Linked DNA regions of Caenorhabditis elegans. The protein of the gene in region 1 purifies or fractionates together with the protein of each later gene. This does not show direct contact. Each region holds a gene or a part of one and is shown in the gene's direction. Other genes may lie near its edges.

The links. Proteins that work in one complex are often made in the same cells at the same time.
Region 2: the proteins of R02F11.9 (region 1) and H24K24.2 fractionate together in Caenorhabditis elegans (co-fractionation; one large-scale study listed by BioGRID). This does not show direct contact.

The regions. Positions count from the first base shown.
Region 1 is NC_003283.11:4,785,651-4,791,113, forward strand, and holds R02F11.9 (CX domain-containing protein), read left to right. Parts: upstream 1-1,815; coding exon 1,816-1,946; intron 1,947-2,289; coding exon 2,290-2,505; intron 2,506-2,548; coding exon 2,549-2,729; 3' UTR 2,730-2,798; downstream 2,799-5,463. Other genes in the region: Y60C6A.3 (uncharacterized protein), read left to right, coding at 154-310, 357-490; R02F11.10 (CX domain-containing protein), read left to right, coding at 3,473-3,621, 3,962-4,171, 4,215-4,395; R02F11.12 (C-type lectin domain-containing protein), read left to right, coding at 5,018-5,084, 5,134-5,201, 5,248-5,413.
Region 2 is NC_003283.11:915,845-921,983, forward strand, and holds the start of H24K24.2 (Protein NLRC3), read left to right. Parts: upstream 1-1,943; 5' UTR 1,944-1,972; coding exon 1,973-2,030; intron 2,031-3,860; exon of another isoform or gene 3,861-3,861; coding exon 3,862-4,116; intron 4,117-4,158; coding exon 4,159-4,271; intron 4,272-5,531; coding exon 5,532-5,794; intron 5,795-6,139. Other genes in the region: adh-5 (Alcohol dehydrogenase class-3), read left to right, coding at 1-303.

The DNA.
Region 1 (5,463 bases):
ATTAAAAAATTTCAGATTGTCTACTTTTGCCCACGCATATTTTTTAAAAAGGTGTCATTAAAAACAAATAAACCTGGAGCCTTACTTCCTCTTGTTTTCACCGTTTTTTTCTATTTAAAATGCACCGAAATTATCATCTACTATCATTTTAACATGCTCTGCAAAATTTTCATCCCATCTCTTCTTCTCCTTTTCACGACTTCAACTGCATTTGACAAGGAGCTTGGTAAAAAGTGTTACATTTCGTGTGTCAACTCTACAAGTATCGCTGAATGGGAAACATGCGAAAAAACGTGTTTTGGGCAAGGAGGTAATGGTTTTGTTCAGGCATTCTTAACAATTTATGAAAATTACAGATGATGAGGATAAAGCTTATATAAATTGTTATGTCAATTGTGTCGATCTGTACTTCGCTCCGGATGGCAAGTTGATAGATTTTAACAACTTTCTAAAATGCGCCGAAGAATGCCCAGGAGCTACTGATCACTGAGGATCAAATGTTTCATTTGAATAAATGTTTAAATTTAATTTTTTTAAATGAATATTTTTCACGTTATAACTTTTTAGGTTAGTTTTTTTAACAGGTCTCTATCTCAAAAATATCATTTAAATTGATTTCTGAATTGTTCTAGTTAAGTGCAAGTAACCTGCGCACAAAATTTACTACGATTGCTCGCAATTGCAACTTTCCAAGCTTAATATTTGGCTCAATTTACCGAATAAAACCCTAAATAAATTTTAAAAAATTTCAATTTTTTCACTTTTTTTTCAATTTTTCAAAAAAATGCAAATGGTTTTTTTTGGCAATTGGCGATTTTCAATTTTTTTTGTCAGAAAAACATAGATAAACTATTTATTTTATCGGAAATCTCCAAAAATGAGGCCTGGTCTAGTCAGATATTTGAATTCTTTCCGCAACATTTTTTTTTGAAAAATTCATAAAAATCGTTTAAAAAATGTTCTCATCGTTATATTTGGGCATTGTGACCCAGTTTCTATTATATACATATGTGTGTAGATCAAAATCCCCACGGAATTTAATTTGGCGGTATGCGACATTTTTCGGCAGTTTGATAATTCCGCAGTTCCCCAAACTCAAAATTTTCGGCAATCGAGTTCCAAAACTTTTGAAATAAAAATGTTTAAAATGAGCTAAAACTACATTTCACGGTAGTGTTTTTAAAAACCAGTTGCAACAATTGATTCAAAAAATGTTTGGTTCCCTATCCTCACAAACAGAACACACTAATACCTTTTTTGAAATTGAAGAGAAATTTCAAAATTGCGTCTCTTCGTTTTACGAGCCTCTTTTGAATCTCCTCGGAAACCTTTCCACTCTTCACCGAATCTATTTTTCCATTTTTTTTTTGCCATTTCAAAACAATTTTCTGCATGATTCTTCAATTCATTATTTGCTTTCTAATCATCATCGCTTCTATCCTAGTCTGTCTACATCTGATTTGGCTGCTCTGGCCTGAATTCTTCTGGACCACCATTGACAAGTTCCGTGGACGGGGTCGAGCCGTGTATTGTGAGCAAATCTTTCGAGACTTTGTTCAGTACATTATTTCAGCTAATATTGACGAGCCTGCTCTGTCGGGACATGATAGCAGTCTAGTTATCACAATTCATACTAATCAATTGTCTATCTAGGTCTGAAGTAGTTTGTACTTGAAAAACAAAAAACCCCTTAGCAACCAGAAGATACAAATACTAGCATTTTTCTTTTCCTATTTTTTCTCGTTTCTCATATATTTTTTTCTGTTTTTTTTTCTTAATTTTCTTGATTCATTTTTCATTCCACTAATTCAACTCATGAGATTTATATTTTTTGCTATTATTTTTTTCGAAGCCGTCTTGGCGTTTGATGTGCCATTATTTTCGACATCGAGCAGCAAAGGAAAAAGAAATGGCAGTATAGTTCAAGACCCAGTGGCTCCAATTTAGTAAGTTAAAAATTTTTGAAAAAAAAATTGGCGGAAAACTTTCTGATGTAAAGTTTTTGACGGGAGTTTCAAATTTTCAAAGAACATTTTGAGAGAAAATAGAAAATTTTTTGGCGGGAAATTTAAATTTTCTGGAAAAAAATTGACAGGAATCTCTAATTTTTCTGTATAAAATCTTGCGGAATGTTCAAATTTTCAAAAAAATCTTGACTTGTGAATCAAATTTTCTGAGAAAAAATTTTTGGCGGGAAATTTAAATTTTCTGAGAAAATGTTAAAGGCGGGAAAATGAGACTTTCTCAGAAAAAAGTTGGCCTGGAATTTTAAATTTTCTTTTTTTCCAGTAAATTTGGCATCACTTATTACTGGGCGGGACACTACAAAAGTAAACATGGCATTCAGAATAAGTGCGTTTTCCTGAAAAGTGATCCAGACTGGCCATTTCCCGAAAGCACTTTCTCCAATGGAACGGCAGTGTATGGAGTGGAATTCGGTTGCAAAAAAGATGATCTATGCAGAAAGTATCACTGTGATCGACCATTTCAAACTGGATTCATTTGGTGAGACCCAACTCCATTTAAATCTGTGAACTAACAATTCCAGGTGCGCATTTCTCATTCTGTCATCTGTTATTTCGGTTGGAATCATTGTTCGCTACATTATTATGCAACGGCAAAATGAACTGAGACCCACGCGAGACACTGAACTAGGATCGATTTATATTCCAGTTCTTATGATTAATGGGGATGTCAGTAGAGCTGAGGAAACTCCAAGGGAGGGATAATTCATTTTTGATTTGGTTCGATTTTTTCTTGTAATGAAACATGATTTAGTAGTTGTATAAATGCTCTTTTTTGCAACAAGAAAATATTGTTTGATTGGCAATTTATAGGAGATTTGAAATTTGAAGTTTAAGCTCCTGCAAATCAATATAAAAAACGTACGGATACTCATTTGATGGAATTGTACCAAAAATCATTTGATACACTTGATTTTTCAGGGATGGGTGGCAAACGATATTTTTAGGAAAACGGCAAATTTGACAAACTTGCCCATTGCCGAGTTGCCGAATTTGTTAAAAAACTGCAGTTGCCCAAAATTTTTGGCAATTTGTTTTTGGAATTTTTAAACTGCGAAATTTAACCATTTTTAAAAATTAGTAAAAAGTCAAGAAATTCGACAAAAATATCAAATTAAAACGGAGGAGAATATGCCAAAAAGTCCTCCTGATTAAGTGCGATTTCTTTTTAATTTTGAACTTTGGACTCCTAGGCGCGTGTTAAAAAAAACTATAAATTATTTATTTTTATGTTTTTCTCCCAACTCCCACTTCAAATTTTTGTTTTACATGCATATGTACATCCTCCGAAAATTCTGAAAATCCAATTTATTGTACTACCTATAAAAAAATTGAATCTCCCGTGGCAACCATGCTCATCTCTCATTTTTCCTTTTCCTCTTCACAAATACATTCTTTGAGAATTTTCGCATGCCTATACCTTGAAATACCCTGGAAATTAAAAAAGAATGAACGTTATTATTTTTCTAGTTTTTGCCATTTCTATGGTAACTGGGTTGAAACCTGTTACACCAACAAGCGTGCCATTACACTATAATTTGCCATTCGAGATTTTCAAGAATTACAGAGTAGTTCAGGAGCCCAGCCATCCTATTTTGTAAGTTTTGGAAAAATCGGCATATCGGCAACTTGCCGGTTTCTCAATTTGTCGGAGATTTTCAATTTCGGCAAATTGCCGATTTGCCGGAAATTTCAATTCCGACAATTTGCTGATTTGCCGGAACAAGTCGTTTGTCGCCTTCCGACTACACGTGTCACCAATTTGCCTATAGCCTACTTGAATATTTTTCTGATGCAAGTAGTCATAGGTATAGGCACAAAGCAGGCACCGTTTCTCAGAATGGAACTACTTTTGAGTAATGTGCTAAGGTTTTCAAAAAAATTTAAACTATTGAATTGTGTGCCAAAATACCAAAACATTTAAATATCCTTTTCAGCTACCATGGAATTGCATTTTACTGGTCTGGAGCCTACATCCCATCTCCAGAAAGACCTGAAACTTGTATAATTCTTGCTTCCCATCCCGAATGGCCTTTTGATGGAAACGTCTTCCAAAATGGTACAATACCAACTGCTGCTCTCTTTGGATGTCATGAACGGTCAATGTGCAGTGGGACTAGATGCATCGAGCCGTATACTCACTTTAAGTATGTATCACATTTTGGTTCCAGACTATAAAATCGATTTCAGTGTGGTCACCTACACCCTTCTTGGCATCGTGTTATTCCTTCTTGTTTGCCTTCTTGGCGGAGAGCCAAAAAACAAGGAAAAGAGCAAACGGCGTGTTTCAAGGCATTCAACGCTGGATAACATCTTTTTGCCATGTGATCATCAAATCAGAGTTGCGGTTCCACCGGAATACACTCATTAGATGCAAAGATCGAAGGAAGAACAATATTTTAACGTTTTAATATTTATCACAGTATTTGGCAAAATTGAATTTTTTTTATAAAACAGCAGAAAAATAATGAAAACATTCTAACTCGATAGCGGGAATTTAATTTTTCAGAAAATTTTTCAACAATATTTATTTTTTTTAATTTTGGCGGAGATTAAAATTTCGCAAAAATGTTAGGTTGTAATTCAAATTTTTCAAAACAATGTTGGTGTGAATACAATTGTATACGTATGTATGTATTAAATTTATTAGAGATTCAAATATTTGAAGAAAAATGTTGGCGGAAATTCATATTACTGTTTACACACCTGTAGCGAGAATTCAAATTATCAGAAAAGGTTTGAATTGTTTTTGAAATTTAGTTTTAATTGTTAATCTTAAGAATTATCACCAAAAAAAACAGTCGAAAAACATTCTCTGGGACTATTTTGGTACCAAAATCTAGGACATTAAAAATTATAATTTTGCTCCCGATGAACGTTCGAGTGCAAACTACAACCACAATCATAAAATACGAGGTTTTTGCAAATTTTTCGCTGAATAACATAAAATGCATATTATAAAAGATTCTCAAAAACGGCAATTCGTGAAAAAAATGATATTTCCTCTAGTATTGTTCTTTATTGGTTTCGCTGCTGCCGGGAATTATGGATACTCGTCCAGTGAGTTTTGGGAAAGTGTCTTGAGAAGCTTAGTTAGTTCAGTTTTCAGGCGGTAATGGAGGAGGAAGACCAAGACCTGGAAACGGTGGTGGTGGAGGAGGAGTCCGCCCTTCAAACGTGAGCGCGGGGGAAATTTGCTCTAGCTCAAAATTTGTGATTCCAGAGTGGCTGCGACGCTGGGTGGCGTCGCTTCAACCGTCCATCTGGCGGATGGTGTGTCAAAGTATTCGGCGCACGCATGAACCAAGCAGATGCTCAGATCCAATGCCAATCTCATGGGGCCACACTTTCGGGCCTGCAAAACTCGGAGGAGGCTCAACAAATCTCCAGTGAGCCACTCTGTTTGGAAACCTCCCTATCCTTCGATACCTCCTAAACT
Region 2 (6,139 bases), 3.9 Mb from region 1:
GCCCTCGAAGCCGCCCACAAAGGATGGGGAGTCTCGTGTATCATCGGAGTCGCCGGAGCCGGCCAAGAGATCGCCACCCGTCCATTCCAACTTGTCACCGGGCGCACGTGGAAGGGAACCGCATTCGGCGGATGGAAATCCGTGGAAAGTGTGCCGAGACTCGTCGACGACTACATGAACAAGAAGCTGCTCATCGATGAATTCATTACTCATCGCTGGAACATTGACGATATCAATACGGCGTTCGATGTTCTTCACAAGGGAGAGAGTCTGCGGTCGGTGCTGGCGTTCGAGAAAATATAACTTCACCTTATTGCGTTCAATTTTTGTTTCCACCTACTACTACGAATACGTTGTAAATCCAAATATATTGTTCTTTAATGATACATTTGCTTCCAGTATGTAATTTTTTCTGGTCAAATCTTTTTTACTAACTTTTGAAGATATTGAAATAAAGTTTGTTTGTATTTATTTTGACTAGGGCTTCCATTGCAGTGAGACGCGAAATGCAAGCTTTGAATTTGTTGCCAGGAAAAATACTGTGATTTCACAAATTTTTGCCATGCCTTCTTAAAGGCGCACGTATTTATTCAGATGGGTCTCGGCGCGCAAAAAAGTTCATGGTAGTTTTTTAGAAACACTTCCTTTTCAAAATGCAAATGCTTCGTTTGTGGTGAAAAAATACATGGTGTATGTTACAATTGTCACGAGGCAAGGTTTTTCAGGCTGTTGAAGGGATTGAAGCATTGGGGTCAAGGGTGTCGGTTTTTCGATTTTTCCAGAAAATCGAAAAATCGAAAAATGACACCCTTGAGTGGGGTTAGGAGGGGATATGGTCGAGGTACTGTAGGATTACTGTAGGATTACTGTAGTTTTGTAAAAATTGACTTTTCGCATTTTGAAAAGATATTGGTTTGAGGTTAGTAGGGAGATATGGTTGGGTACTGTAGTATTATAGTTTCAGAAAGTGAGTTCCTAGAATTTTCTAGAAATTCAGGAAATATCTAGAATTTTTTCAATCAGTAAGCTACTAGAACTTTCTTGGAGGTCCGCAAAACCCCAGGAAAAAAGTCTAACTGTAAAAAAAGCTTAGTACTTTACATTTTATTGAAACTGTTATAACATTTAGGCCAAATATACCACAGACTTTTAGAGCAAAATCCTTAATCGGAAATAAAAACGGAAAGTTCAATATATAAGTTCAGTATACTATCAGGTCTATCATTTCTAATAGAGACTACATCAAGGGTGAGCGGCAATTGACGATCGTCATTCCAAATTTTCTGCAATTCGGCAATTGCCGAAATTGTTCGATTTCAGCCCACATATCTGTTTTATAGCGTTCTTCAGTTATTTTTTTAATTCGATTTTCGAAATTGTGTCCCATTACAATTGTTCTATTTTCCCACGAATGACATATATAATCCTCTGTACATCACGACAAGATATATCGATTTTATCTAAACGCTGAAACCAACTGCACAGTAAACGAATGAGACAACCTGTACATACATCCTAATTACTGACATGGTACTGCCGCCTCATTTAAACGTTTTCTTCCTTCTTTGTTTTTATTTCGAAATGTATTCTATAGACACTATTTTAGTTTTGAAAATTTATAATTTACGCATTTCTCCGCATTTTTCCTTACCTTCTTTTTTTCAAACTATATTCCAAATAGGTAAAAAATGTTGTAAGGTGACCTGCACTAGGTCAAAAGAAGCTATAGTAAACAAATCTTTCTGATGTCCAGTATATATAAAATTTCAATTTTTTCTAATGGTATTTGGAATTTGAATAGTTGTGTAGTAGCTTAATCCCAAAACATTTTAATGGGTTATGATAAAACATAATAAGTAGTCTTGCATCTCTTTATTACAGTCACCGAATTTTATCTTTTCAAAGCCAACAATAACCTGTACTTTTATTATAACAAAAAATTCAGAATCAGTTTACAAATCTACAATTGGAAATGATAAGACCGCTGCAAGACATAATTATCGAGAAAATTGCAAAGCTAATAGACAATGGTGAGAGTTTCTTTTCTGGTCTTTCTGGTCTTCTGGTTAGGAATACGTGACAATCTCATGACGTCACGTATTTATTCTTTAGTAATTACGCTGCTAAATGAGTGTGACGTCACATGAATGGAAATGCGGTTGACTAATGGTCGGAAATTTGTAAAAGGAATGTTTTGAAAATATATTCTCTATTGTTTATTTTGCGTTGGTGACAGTTTGAACAAATGTGATGTTTGCTCATCGGCCGACTGGAAATTAGAACTCAGGTTGAAAACCCTAACCTCACAAGTGAAGTCGAAAAACTTAACCCCGTAATTTTTTTGTATACCATAGTAATTTTTCGATCCAAAAAATTTAGCTGCCCCGGTCTAGGTTCAACAAAGTTATGACGTTTTGAAAGTGCCGAAAAAAATTCCTTGACCAAACCCTAGCGAAAAAAACGTTCAAATTTTCAAAAAAAAAAGTTTTTCTAAAAATTGATAAAAACTATTGTAGCTTATCCAAAAATGTGAAAAACATATATCATGTACGTTTTTTCTCCCCACGGGCAAAAAACCACACTGCTTGATCTACATATCTAGAGAAAAATTCCAAAAAGGGTTTTCTTGAGAGTTATGAGCTAAAACTTGCATGGCATATGCTTTTCACTGTTTTAAATCATTTACACATATTTTTTTCTCTTTTCAGAAAAAAAATTATTTTTTAAAAAGGTGTTTTAGCCACTTTCAAAACGTCATAACTTTGCTGAACCTGGACCGGGGCAGCTAAATTTTTTGGAGGGATCATTATTTTCACTCTTTCATCGAAAAATTACTATGGCATGCCAAAGTCCGGGGTTAAGTTTTTCGACTTCCCTTGACAGTGCGAAAACCACATCAGCACCAGGGCTGTGCGGCAACTGGCAACCGAGTTGCCGGTTGCCGAAAAGTTGCCGAAGTTTCGGCAACCAAGAGTTGCCGATTGCCGAAATTTTTTTTAATCGGCAACTTCGGCAATTGCCGGTTGCCGAAAATTTTGAGGTTCGGCAACTTCGGCAATTGCCGGTTGCCGAAAACTTTGGAGTTCGGCAACTTCGGCAATTGCCGAACTTTTTTCGGCAACTTCGGCAACTGCCGATATCATTGTCAAACATTCTGTAGCTCAGAAAAAGCATTCGGAGAGCCTGAAAAATGCTAATATTTCGCCGTAAACGAGAAAACGACCATTATTTTTTTTCCAAAACGCTCAAAACTATGTATTCAACAAAAAAAACTTTAAAACTTGGTTGCCGGTTGCCGAAAAGTTGCCGAAAAGTTGACGAAAATTCGGCAATCGAAAGTTGCCGGTTGCCGAAAATTTTTGGGTCCGGCAACTTCGGCAATTGCCGGTTGCCGAAAATTTTTGGGTTCGGCAACTTCGGCAATTGCCGGTTGCCGAAAATTTTTGGGTTCGGCAACTTCGGCAATTGCCGGTTGCCGAAAATTTTTGGGTTCGGCAACTTCGGCAATTGCCGGTTGCCGAAAATTTTTGGGTTCGGCAACTTCGGCAATTGCCGGTTGCCGAAAATTTTTGGGTTCGGCAACTTCGGCAATGGCCGGTTGCCGAAAATCCCGGTTGCCGCACAGCCCTGATCAGCACTCGAGAAAATCACTATGTTCTACTGCTCGAACTCGAGTGATTTTTCACCAGTGCTGGTGTGGTTTCAAATCACTCGAGGACTAAACTTCTCTAATCAGACTTTTCTATAAATGGTTCGAAAGAGGGGGCTGGCTAAGGGATGATTGTTGTGGAGTTATTTTTCCAATTTTGGGTGAATATGAAATAAGAAGTACAGAAAGTTTATCAAAAAACAATCATTCAGACAACTTCAACATGCTTGTTCGACCTCTGGATAGAACAGCCAGCGACAAAATGTTCAGTGAGTTGATGAAATTAAAATTCGGACTTTGCGAAGAGGCACTGACTCGATTTGGACATTTTTTCTGCTTGAAGAAAGTCGACTTATTCAATTACCACGTTAGCAAAGAACTTGTTGAAGCGATTAGATGTCAAAATTTGGAGTCACTTAGCCTCGGAAACTTAGATTGGGTCAAACGTGGCAGGAGATTCATGAACGGTAAGATTGCAATAGTTGAGGTGAAAGAAACATAATTTGCAGGTTACGATATAGTACGTTTTTTGGAAAGTTTTCTCAACGAAGAATCTCGTAATGTACTTCACAGTTTAGAAATCACGATGGAGAGTCCATTTGCCAAGGAATGGCCAGCAAAGGTTACATTTTTGTATTTCATTGTTGTCTGTTTTCCAAATTTTACAGTAAGCGCCACAAAAACCACAGTTTCTGGTTTTTTCGACAACCAACAGCATTAATGCATTTTAAACTTTGAATAATTGTGAGCCTTTAATAGTGGAGTAATGTGATCAAGCCTGCACTGGCAGAAAATGGGTCATAGTAACCAGATATAACAATAATAACATTATTCTCCCTTCAATTTTGAACAAAAATAGCAAACACCTGAATTGATTTTAAATTACTGATTATCATCTCAAATCAAATTTTTTAAAAACATTTTTTACTTGATCACTACGAGTCAACCTTAAAATAAAGAAAAAGGCCACGTTTTTATTAACGTAAATGTTCCAAAAAATGCGGGGTATAAAATGAATTGTACCAAAAGTTGTTTTTGAATTAATTTTTCTACAAACACATTGTATACTAAATTGAGAAAAGCCGCACATAACTCTCATATCAATGTTGTTTGATGACACCCTCCGTTCAAACCAGCAATTTTTGATTTGAGATGATAGTGAGTAATTTATATTCAATTCAGCTGTGTGCTATTTTTTCAAAATTGAAGTTAGATTAGTGTTTTAACTGGTTAGAAAGTGCAAAACTAATAGAAGCTTCAACACTATAGGCTTCGTATATATGTTAATACCCTATTTTATTAAAAGGCATATGGTAGACTCCGTCCTTATCTAGGTTTTTTTAAGCCACACTAAAACAGGATTCCAAAGGGAACAGGATTCAGTGGGCGGAGACAAAAATTAATAGGTGGAGTAGCGCCAGTGGGAAAATTATTAAAAACCACTCCTTTGGTCCAATAATGACCAAATATCATGCTTAAACTTTTCAAAAAAATTTTGAAATTGTTTTATTTACTGTCAAAAAGGGGCAATTTCTCCGATTTTGCCACTCATCATTTTGGAAGTCGACCAAAAAAAAAATTTCGATATTTTTTATGTTTTAACTTTATTTAAATTATTTGTATTAAAACACTGTAGGGGTCGAAACATGCGACATTTCTTTAAGTTTTCTCAAAATCTCATACTTTGCAAGATGTTGGGAATTTTCCAAAACTTTGACCGGATTATTATGATACTTGGTTGTTTTGGATCATTATAAGTGCATTTAGACAAAATACCCACTGGCGCTACTCCACCTTTAAGAAAATAAGAAATAACTTCACACTTTTTTTCAACATGAATAACTGTCTTTTTTTTTGGAAACGTTTGTAAATTTTTGTTCAGATAAATAATATGCTGCCCGCTTTGAAATGCTTTGCAATCAATGGACAAGTGAATGACGATGAGTTTTCCCATCTTTGCATTGGTTTTTCCAATTTACGTGTGTTGGATATTAGTAATACAAACATCAGAAACCTTTCCGGAATGAAGATGCTAGTTAATTTACAAATACTTTCAATGAGAAACTTGGACATTAACCAAACATCTGATTTAATAGAACTATTTTCATTAACCAAGTTAACCGTTTTGGATGTATCGCAAGATAAGTGAGTTTACGGGTTTTGATGGAATAATTAACAACTTGGTTTGCTGGGGAGTATTGCTTATTTTAGATGAGGTCTAATACCAGTTTAGATGCGTTTTGAAAATTTCGAATTTTGCTGCGTAACCATGGTGTGGATTTTTTAACAAAAATTCAAAGAAAAACATGTTCCAAGAATTAATTCATTTTCAACCATAGCGTGAAATGTGGTATTTTTTTAAATGTTCAAAGCTTTTCTCCGTTTTGTTTCAGCCCTTTTCCAGATTTGTCTCAGTTTTTTTTTAAATTTTCTCAATAAATTATCAAAGATGACATATATTGCAGCACAGCTAACCAATCAAAAGTTGGT